2 linked regions of the Schizosaccharomyces pombe genome follow. The protein of the gene in region 1 interacts with the protein of each later gene in a biochemical or structural test. Each region holds a gene or a part of one and is shown in the gene's direction. Other genes may lie near its edges.

The links.
Region 2: of the proteins of gef1 (region 1) and orb6, one has a biochemical effect on the other in vitro, tested with the Schizosaccharomyces pombe proteins (one study listed by BioGRID).

Annotation. Positions count from the first base shown.
Region 1 is NC_003424.3:469,476-474,651, reverse strand, and holds gef1 (RhoGEF for Cdc42 (Gef1)), read left to right. Parts: upstream 1-1,661; 5' UTR 1,662-1,752; coding exon 1,753-1,794; intron 1,795-1,849; coding exon 1,850-4,069; 3' UTR 4,070-4,671; downstream 4,672-5,176. Other genes in the region: SPOM_SPAC24H6.08 (uncharacterized protein), read left to right, coding at 1-617; SPOM_SPAC24H6.10C (phospho-2-dehydro-3-deoxyheptonate aldolase), read right to left, coding at 4,826-5,176. UniProt on the Schizosaccharomyces pombe protein: Has a role in the control of cell polarity and cytokinesis. Involved in bipolar growth, via modulation of cdc42-shk1-orb6 signaling, and septum formation. Stimulates guanine nucleotide exchange of cdc42.
Region 2 is NC_003424.3:1,006,263-1,010,881, forward strand, and holds orb6 (serine/threonine protein kinase Orb6), read left to right. Parts: upstream 1-2,000; 5' UTR 2,001-2,176; coding exon 2,177-2,319; intron 2,320-2,586; coding exon 2,587-2,761; intron 2,762-2,806; coding exon 2,807-3,898; 3' UTR 3,899-4,056; downstream 4,057-4,619. Other genes in the region: gamma-glutamyl phosphate reductase Pro1, read left to right, coding at 132-1,487; dnf1 (P-type ATPase), read right to left, coding at 4,378-4,619. UniProt on the Schizosaccharomyces pombe protein: Interacts with pak1/shk1 and coordinates cell morphogenesis with the cell cycle. It is essential for maintenance of cell polarity and is involved in mitotic control.

The DNA of each region.
Region 1 (5,176 bases):
CTTCTTCTGGTATCTTTTTAAGTCAAACTCAACGAACGTCTTCCACATCAAGTTTAAAGAAATCGGCTTCGAGTAGACGTTTGGTTTATGGTGATGACATGCTGGCACCCAAACCGTTAGCTGGTCAAGTACTTAGTAAATCACCACTTCCTCCTTTTTCACCTTCAAAAATTATGAACAGGAGTATATCTGTTCCTCCCACGAATATCTCTGTTCCTCAAATTAGCAGTAATCCTCTCAACTTGATGAAGAAAAGCAGTGACAATGATATCTTTACCACGTTTAACGATACAACAAACGATTGTATGAACGAAGCTTCTTGTGAAGATGTCAGGCACTCCCTATTGCAAATTATAGAAAGTAAATCAAATCTTAGTGATTCTGTTCATAAGATGTTGGGTGAACGAGTCAAAACGAATTTACTATTACAAGGTCAACTAGAAAACATGGAAGGCTTTTGGCTACAAAAATTATCGCAAACATGTCGCTTGGCGTTGACAGGAAACATTAGTGAGGCGAAGGCATTTATTGTAGAAATTATGTGTGCCGGTGTTGTAACTAATTGTGTGCGCTGGTGTCCAGTTTTGAAGACTCTAATTGAAAACCTTGCTATCTAGCTTTACATGTTGTTATATATTTTCTAAATCTTCCTGCTGCAAGTTATATGACACTAATGCTCTTTTTTTCTTAATTCTATCATTTTTAATGATGTTACTCATTTGCATTTTAACAAACCATTTATAAGCATGATTAGCTATGTCGGACGCTAACGAAGTTACAAGTTAAAGGATTTAATAACACTTCCTTTTTGAAATTAGAAGAAATCTTAATAGATATAATGGAAGTTTCCATTTTTTTTACAATATATATTTTTCTTATGGCCTGTCGATTAATAGTATTTTTAGTTTAATTTACTGAAACATTATATTTGTTTTTAGTGAACACCGTAGAATATTTAGGAATTTTGACTAGGTCTGTTTATCATACACACTTAGTATTAGATATCGTGATTTTTTGAATATATGAAAAAAAGTACTACAGACAGAAAATGCAGCGTATTAGCCTCAAGTAATTATTAAAAAAAATAAAAATTTTCTTTTAAAATTATACAGTGTTTACCAAAGTTATGTAAGACAATCAACTGCCGCTTCTCTCTCATTTCTGTTTATATACATCTTTAATGTTTATTACTTATTAAAAAAAAAAAAAAAAAAAAAAAAAAAACAAAGCAAATTACGTGCATTACCAAGAAAACAAAACCGCTCTAAATATTTAAGCTAATTAAAACAATGAAATAACAAATTTATTAACTTGTAACCGTAACAGTGGAATTTATTTTAACTGCTGTCATTTCTAGAATTTCATAAAGGGAGACATGAATAAATTTAACCTTATATTACAAATTGTAAATACGTAAATGTTTATCACAAAATCGAATACTCAAGTCATATTACTATGTACCTGTGCAAGCAACCATTTGTAAACCAAGTACAAAGGTAAACTGCCTCTGTCCGCGGTTGGCGCTCAAAAAGCTGAGCCAAGCCTATTTTTGGCAAACTATTTTTCGTGGGTGATTACGTTATGCATTGGTAATGAAGATAAGGAAGTGGAAGGTATTGAAAGTGGATTAAGAAGAAGTTGGCGCCAAATCTCCAAAACCTGTGCTTTACCAACAACGTTACCTAATAAAATTCATGTAAACAAAATTTCCAAAATTGTCATTCATTTTATTGTTCTCCAAATGTTTTCAATATGGAGACTTTAAAAGCAGATCTTTCGGATATGTCCGATTCCGTATGTCCTTATACTTGATTTGAATGTGTGTATATGTGTTAACAATGTTGATCAGCCTGAGTACTTTGAAACCTTGGCAAACAGGGATTTACCAAGATTGCCTGGAACAAGCAAGCTTCATCGAGCTGCATGTATTAAACGAAAATCTATCAATTTAAGCCTTCCTTCTAACAGTTATTCGCTTTCTTACCGACAATCAGACGACACTGATGGCGATGTTTCAGAATCACAGAGTGAATACAGGTTGAGTAGTGGAAGGAGGTCTCGAGCAAGCTTTGCTCGTGCTTTACAAGATCCCCAAACTCCAAACACTCCTCCCGTATCGTCTCAGCACCGAAGATTCTTTTCGGAGGGCTCCTTCAATTTGCCAAACTCCAACATGAGCCACTCATTAAATGGGGATTCTACAGCCTCTAATAGTTCTACTTTAACCCCTAATCGTATTTATGGGGACCGCAATCGTCAAGATTATGCTCAGTCTAGCCGATATACTTTGCCTTCGTTGCCTAGTTCCCCATCATATAACTGTCCTACAACACTTCGAAAAATACATACAAACACGAGTAGCAATGGAACTTCACGAAGAGTTAGCGGCCTAGGGTCTTTTATGGCACAGAATTCCTCTGAAACTAGCAGTAACAGGACTTCGGCGTATCTACCTGGTAGCTCTACGGATGAACAAGAAAAGCGTTCCAGTGTGACTTTGGCAAGTATGCCTTCCTCTCATTCGTCTACAGCGTCCCTCCTTTCACCTCTTGATACTACTTCTTTTTCTACTAAGTTGGACTCTACTATTTTGGCCTTGGAAACTGATGAGTCTCTCAGCCGAACAATTTCGTATGCCACTACTTCTTTACCGAGCACACCAGGTAAGCGTTTATCAAAGGAATCTCTTGCTATGTCTGAAGCCAGTTCTATCAATCCAGAATATAAGCGTATTAAAAAGCGTGCAAATTTGATTAAAGAGCTGGTTACTACTGAAGCTGCCTATTTAAACGATCTCATTGCGATTCAACAAAGTTATGGCTTGCGGGTCAAAGAATGCAGTGCATTGAATCCAGTTGACGCCCAAACAGTTTTTGGCGATATAGAGTCTTTATTAACTTTTACTGTGGAATTCCATAGTCGACTTTATCAAGCTGGTGAAGGCTCCTGGCGTGTAAACTTGGATACCCAGCTTATAGATCCTCTTCCTTGCAATTTAGGTCTTATTTTTTTAGAAAGCCTTTCTGAAATCGGTCAAATTTATACTGGTTATTGCAACCGTCAAGATTCGGTTTTCAAAATTATCACTAAATGGAGAGAGAAACCTGCAACTGCATCCTGGATTATGGAGGGTGATAAAATAGTTCAAAAATACACGAACGCCTGGGATTTGGGTAGTTTAATAATTAAACCTTTACAGCGCTTACTCAAGTACCCCCTATTATTGCAAAAAATCATTGATGTTACTCCTGAAAGTAGTTCTGAGCGCCCAGATTTGGTCCTTTCTTATCAACTATTACAGGAGTTAATATCTGGTATAAACCAGAAGCAGAAGCCTTCTCATAAGCGTGGGTCGTTAAGTGCTTCTCATAAACGAGACGCTGCTTGGAGTTTACTCTATAAAGCAACATCGAATAAATCTAGGCCCACCACTACATCTACTGAGTTAAAAACTGATGCTCGATTGAATTTTCAACGCCAAGTGCTTCAAGATTTTCGACAACGATTCGCTATATTAAAAGCCTTACATGCTACATTGGAAACGTGGTACGTTACTGTACATCGTGGATTTTCGGTTTTTGAAAAGGTTTTAGCAGAGCTTGAAGGGCTTAGTGCTTTAGAGCCCGAAGACAAGCCGGTAGATACGTGGCGTAAGTATCATTTACTTGCGCACATGATGACTGCTAACCTTCCTTCTCAAATACAAACGTCTTTAAATTCTTCTATCCTTAACCCAATCACAAATATCCTACGAGTGATTCAAAAAGTTATTCAGTTCATTATCAGCGCTGAATTTGTGATTCCTGCTCAAAAGCTTGAGGCAATTTCTACTCTTGTTGAGAAGGAATTTCACAGTGTTGTTTATCATTTTATTGGTATTCAACGCTCTCTCTATGAAAACTACGCTCAAGGTTTCTTGTTTCTTATCCCTCAAGACATGAGGGATAGCATCTTAGAAGAAACGCAAGATTATGCAGAGTTAGTTCGAGCCTTTGAACCCATGCATTATGATGACGAGGTATTGCTGGAGGAATTAATGAAAAGTGTCTCTTTAGCTGCGAGGGTTTAAGAGCAACTTCTTTAGTCGAATATTTTTTATCTGTTCTATATATATACACATTTAGATATACTGCATTCATGTTACTTGAATGATGAAAACGTTTCTCTGGACCATGGTTTTTTGCAGCTTCCATGTATTTAACATCACAATTACATTTATTTAACCTAATATCTGCGTTTGTCTGATTACAATTCGTTTAGGTTCTTTTAACGGTCTTTTTTTGTCTATCACAGAGGCCTGTTAAGTTTAGTTTCAAATTAGGATTCTAAACGCTTTTACGCCTTCCTTTTATGCATCTCATTATTTTTGTCTGCTCAAGTCGAGCTATTAATTATTGTCTTTTCACTTTTTTTTTTTAAACTAGGAACGTTTTGGCTTTTCTGCTGTTATGCCATTTTATTTGTTCATACGCTTCCACTTTTCATTTATATGCTTTAATAATGTATATAATATTTGACTTTCACTTTAACTATGTTTTATGTTTAAAATATGTAATTAGGTTTTGATTGAATTAATTTTGTTCGTCGTTATTTATCCTAGTTGACTAACAAAAACAGGTCAAATTCTTACATTCGTAGTAAAACCAAAACGTAAATAAAAATACTTACGATGAAACAGTCTGGAACCATCCGATAAAGTGCAATGATAAGTACGATAAATAACCTTTTAAAAGTCACACTGTTAATTACGGCAAATACAAATTTATTATACAAGAAACCAAAAAATTTATTTTTATAAAACTGTCTCAATAACCTTCATTATAGGTTAATGAGAACGACGAGAACGGACGGCAGCAGCCAACTGTTCAAAAACGGCGGTAGTGTCGTCCCAACCAATGCAAGCATCGGTGACACTGACTCCATATTTCATACTTGACAAATCATCCTCAGGTATAGCTTGCTTACCTTCGTTAAGGTGAGATTCGATCATGACACCAGTAATTGCTTTCTGACCGTTTGCCACCTGCTCAGCAATACAAGCAGCAACCTTGGGTTGATTCTTATGGTTTTTAGATGAGTTTCCATGAGAACAGTCGATCATGATACTAGGTAGCTTGTTGCATTCTTCGAGTTTAGCCTTGGCACCAGCCACTGAATCAGCATCGAAGTTAGTCCC
Region 2 (4,619 bases), 540 kb from region 1:
CATACATTAGAAAAAACAACCAAAATACTACAAAAAGTAGTCTTTTTGAGCTAGCCATTCTAAGAATAAGAATTCGCTTGATTTAAATCTCCCAATTGCCTCTACTCAAAGTTGTATAAGTATTGTTTAGCATGTCTCTTGAAGAGAATGTAAAGGAAGCGAAAAACGCTTTTAACATTTTACAGACATTATCAGTGGAAGACCGTGATGATGCATTGGATAAAATAGTTGAAGAACTGCGCATAAAAAAGTCAGAGGTTCTAGCTGCAAATGCTGAAGATATGAAAGCAGCTAAGCTCTTGGCTGAATCAGGAAAACTAAGTTCATCGATGGTTAAAAGATTGGATCTGTCTTCATCTGATAAATACGATTCCATGGTACAGGGTGTTTTAGATGTTAAAAGTTTGCCTGATCCCCTTGGTCGTGTTACTTATGCTCGTAGTCTTGACGATGGTTTGGACCTTTATAAAGTCTCTTGCCCTGTAGGTTTATTGCTAGTCATTTTTGAAGCTAGACCTGAAGTAATCATTAATATTACTTCCCTGGCTATCAAATCTGGTAATGCTGTTGTACTTAAAGGAGGCACGGAATCAGCAAAGTCTTTCGCTGCACTTTCTAATGTTGTTCGCTCTGCCTTGGGCAAAAGTAAGGTTCCACAGGCTGCTGTGCAGCTTGTTCAGAGTCGCGAGGAGGTATCACAATTATTAAAATTGGATGAGTACATAGATTTGGTTATTCCCCGCGGCAGCACTAATCTTGTACGCCATATAAAAGATAACACAAAAATTCCTGTTTTAGGTCATGCTGCAGGACTATGCTCCATGTACGTCCATGAGGATGCTGATATGGAATTGGCTAGTAAACTTGTTCTGGATGGAAAAACTGATTATCCAGCAGCATGTAATGCAATTGAAACTTTGTTAATTAACGAAGCTGTTTTATCTTCTCATCTTCCTAAAATTGCTGAAACTTTAACTGAAGCAAAAGTTACATTAAAATGTGATCCCGCTTCTCTTAAGGTTTTAAAGGATATGCCAAAAGTTAGTGCTCTAGTTGAACCATCTGTCGATCAAGATTACAACACTGAATTCTCTGATTTGATTCTTGCTATTAAGACTGTACCTTCCTTACAGTCCGCAATGCAGCATATAAATACACATGGTTCTAAACACACGGATTGCATTATCACTTCTAGTGAAGCAGCTGCTAACAGATTCATGGCTGGAATTGATGCTTCTGGTGTGTATTGGAATGCTTCAACCAGATTTGCCGATGGTTTTCGTTATGGTTACGGTACCGAAGTTGGCATCAGCACCAACAAAATTCATGCTCGAGGACCAATGGGTCTTGATGGGTTAACTATTTACAAGTACCAACTTAGAGGAAATGGTCAAGTTGCAAGTAGTTATGGAGTTGGACCTGGCAAACGCGCATTTAAACATACCCCTATTAATATAGACAATATTTCTCAGGTTTCGAAAAAATAAACACAAAAAAGATTTGAAAATTATGTGAAATTGTCAACGTTTTGGCTAGCTGCATTTTGGATACAAATCGGTTAGGCTTTTTTTGTTTACTTGTTTGTCTATAATATTTAAATGGGAGTTTCAATAATGTGAAGTTATTAAATGAAGAGTAAACACCAAATTAAATAGATAACTATTCCTGTAGAGTTCGATCCACCACCTTTAGTTTTTATTACACAAATATTTTTATGGTGAAGAACGAATTGATGTCTCCGTCCGTCTTTTTTGACTATTCATTTCAATTCAGATTCTAAAATCTTCGTAAGCTAAGATTCTTGGCTTCAGTTAGTAGCGTCGTAATATTGAACAGGGAGGGTTAGGAAATGCGCGGAGCTTATCGCAAGCGATCGTTGAAGTTATATAACAAACTGCAGAAGTACTTGCTTTTCCAGTATCGCAGTTTAACATATTTTTATCGGATTATACCTTAGCTGGCAGTAGTCCTATAATTAAAAAAGCATAATAGGACTTGTCATTTACCATATCCGATTTATCACTGTCTCATTTCTGTTTTGCATGTCTTGTTAATTCATGTTTTAAGCGATTGAATTTCAATCTTTTAACAATTTCTTTTTGTTAATTAATTCGTTGACCTTGTAGTTGATTCTAATTAGTGTAAAAATTCCATTTATTGCAACATTTCTTTCAATATGGATAAGAATGATTACTTACACTTTGAACGGAACCCTTCATTATTTCCGAAATCAACTTTAGACAAAGTCCAAAAGACAAAGAAATATATTGAACATTATTACAAGGTGGCAGTTGATCATGCTGTAGAGCGCAACCAAAGGTACGAGTAGCATTACTATTCAGGGTTCTAGCATTGTTTCACATTCCTCAATTAGTATTCCCATCTTATACGTTGATCGGATAAGTATCAAAGACGATGCTTTTATTAATTCTTTCTCCGTTCTCAACTTCGCGTGTTGCAGTAAATGCATAATCTCGAATGTTTATAAAATCTTAGACAGCTTACTCATCTTGTTTCGAAAATGTTAATTAATAATGCTAGCTTCCGTTTAATTTACTTTTAGGTATAAATACTAATTCTCTTTAGACGTATCAATTTGGAGCAACGATTAGCAACCGAAAGGGGTTCTGAGGAGAGAAAGAATAGGCAGTTAAGAGCATCTGGTGAAAAAGAGTCTCAATTTCTTCGATTTCGTCGTACACGGCTTTCTTTAGAAGATTTTTCTACCATCAAAGTTATTGGGAAAGGTGCATTTGGCGAGGTACGTTTGCATAATTGTTTATGTTTTTGGTATCTAATTAAATAGGTTCGGTTGGTTCAGAAACTCGATACGGGTAAAATCTATGCCATGAAATCTTTGCTTAAAACTGAAATGTTCAAACGTGACCAGCTGGCTCATGTCAAAGCAGAACGCGACTTATTAGTTGAATCTGACTCCCCATGGGTGGTGTCATTGTATTATGCTTTTCAAGATTCACTGTATCTTTACTTGATTATGGAGTTTTTACCAGGCGGTGATTTGATGACCATGCTAATAAATTATGATACTTTTTCAGAAGACGTTACTCGCTTCTACATGGCTGAGTGCGTTTTGGCTATAGCTGATGTTCATCGAATGGGTTATATTCATCGGGATATAAAACCGGATAACATACTGATTGACCGGGATGGCCATATAAAACTTTCTGATTTCGGACTTTCCACTGGTTTTTACAAGCAAGATCAGAGTGCCTCTTACATGAAACCTCGCACAGGAAATACTGTCAAACGTGGTCAAATGGTAGATGCTATCTGGCTTACAATGTCTTCCAAGGACAAAATGGCTACTTGGAAAAAGAACCGTAGGGTGATGGCCTATAGCACTGTGGGTACTCCTGATTATATCGCTCCAGAAATTTTCTTGCAACAAGGGTATGGTCAAGATTGTGATTGGTGGAGTTTAGGCGCTATCATGTTCGAGTGCTTAATTGGATGGCCTCCCTTTTGCAGTGAAAACTCTCATGAAACTTATCGAAAAATCATCAATTGGCGTGAGACTCTGACTTTCCCAAATGATATACATTTAAGCATAGAAGCTCGTGATTTGATGGACCGACTTATGACAGATTCAGAACACAGATTAGGTCGTGGCGGTGCTATTGAAATAATGCAACATCCTTTCTTTACTGGAATCGATTGGGATCATATACGAGAAACTGCAGCTCCATTTATTCCGAATTTGAAATCTATTACCGATACACATTATTTCCCTGTTGATGAGCTTGAACAAGTTCCTGAACAACCTGTCACACAACAACCTGCTTCTGTTGACCCTCAGACGTTGGAACAAACCAATCTGGCATTCCTTGGGTACACTTACAAAAAATTCAATTATTTAACGATGAAAGGAGCATTGTAAGACTTCTGCAAGAAACTCCATAGCTACTTTGTTCATTGTCCTTTGAGCATCTAACTATTGTTATCGAATTTTTTTTATCGTTAATTCATGTTTACCTTCTTTTACATTATTTTAGCATAACTAATAATATTACCAATTACTTTTTTTTAATGTTGTCCCTACTGATAAAATCTTACATGCACTTCTGTAAATATTAAATTCGTTGCATAAGAATTCCAAATTAATGCATAGATTTTATTAGGGAAAAGATAAAAAAGAGTGAGTAAAAAACATGTATTAATAAGTACAACAGGATGTTAACGCCAAGAAAACCAACCAAAATAGTAAACAATAATTATGAAATGCGGATCATGACCCATAACTAATAGACAATTTCTAATTGAACAGTGGGAACCCCAGAATTTTAACATTTTACCAGTAAACTGACTATCGTCTAAAGAAAGTTTCATATACTAGAATTGGATTAATGAATTAAATGCCTAATCTCGGCTTTTTAAATATTGTTCAATTTCATCGACAGATGGTGCATTGGCTTGTAAAAACTCACCGCTCTCTTGCTCAAACCGAGAGCGGACAAAGGCATCGTTTTCCATTTCCACAAATATGTCGGTGTCCGTAGGACGTAAAGTCCTTCGTAACATTTGGGCAACAATATCAATTGTTAAAGCACAAACCATTACAAAAAGCATAGTAAGCCACCATGAAGGATTTTTGCCAAAAT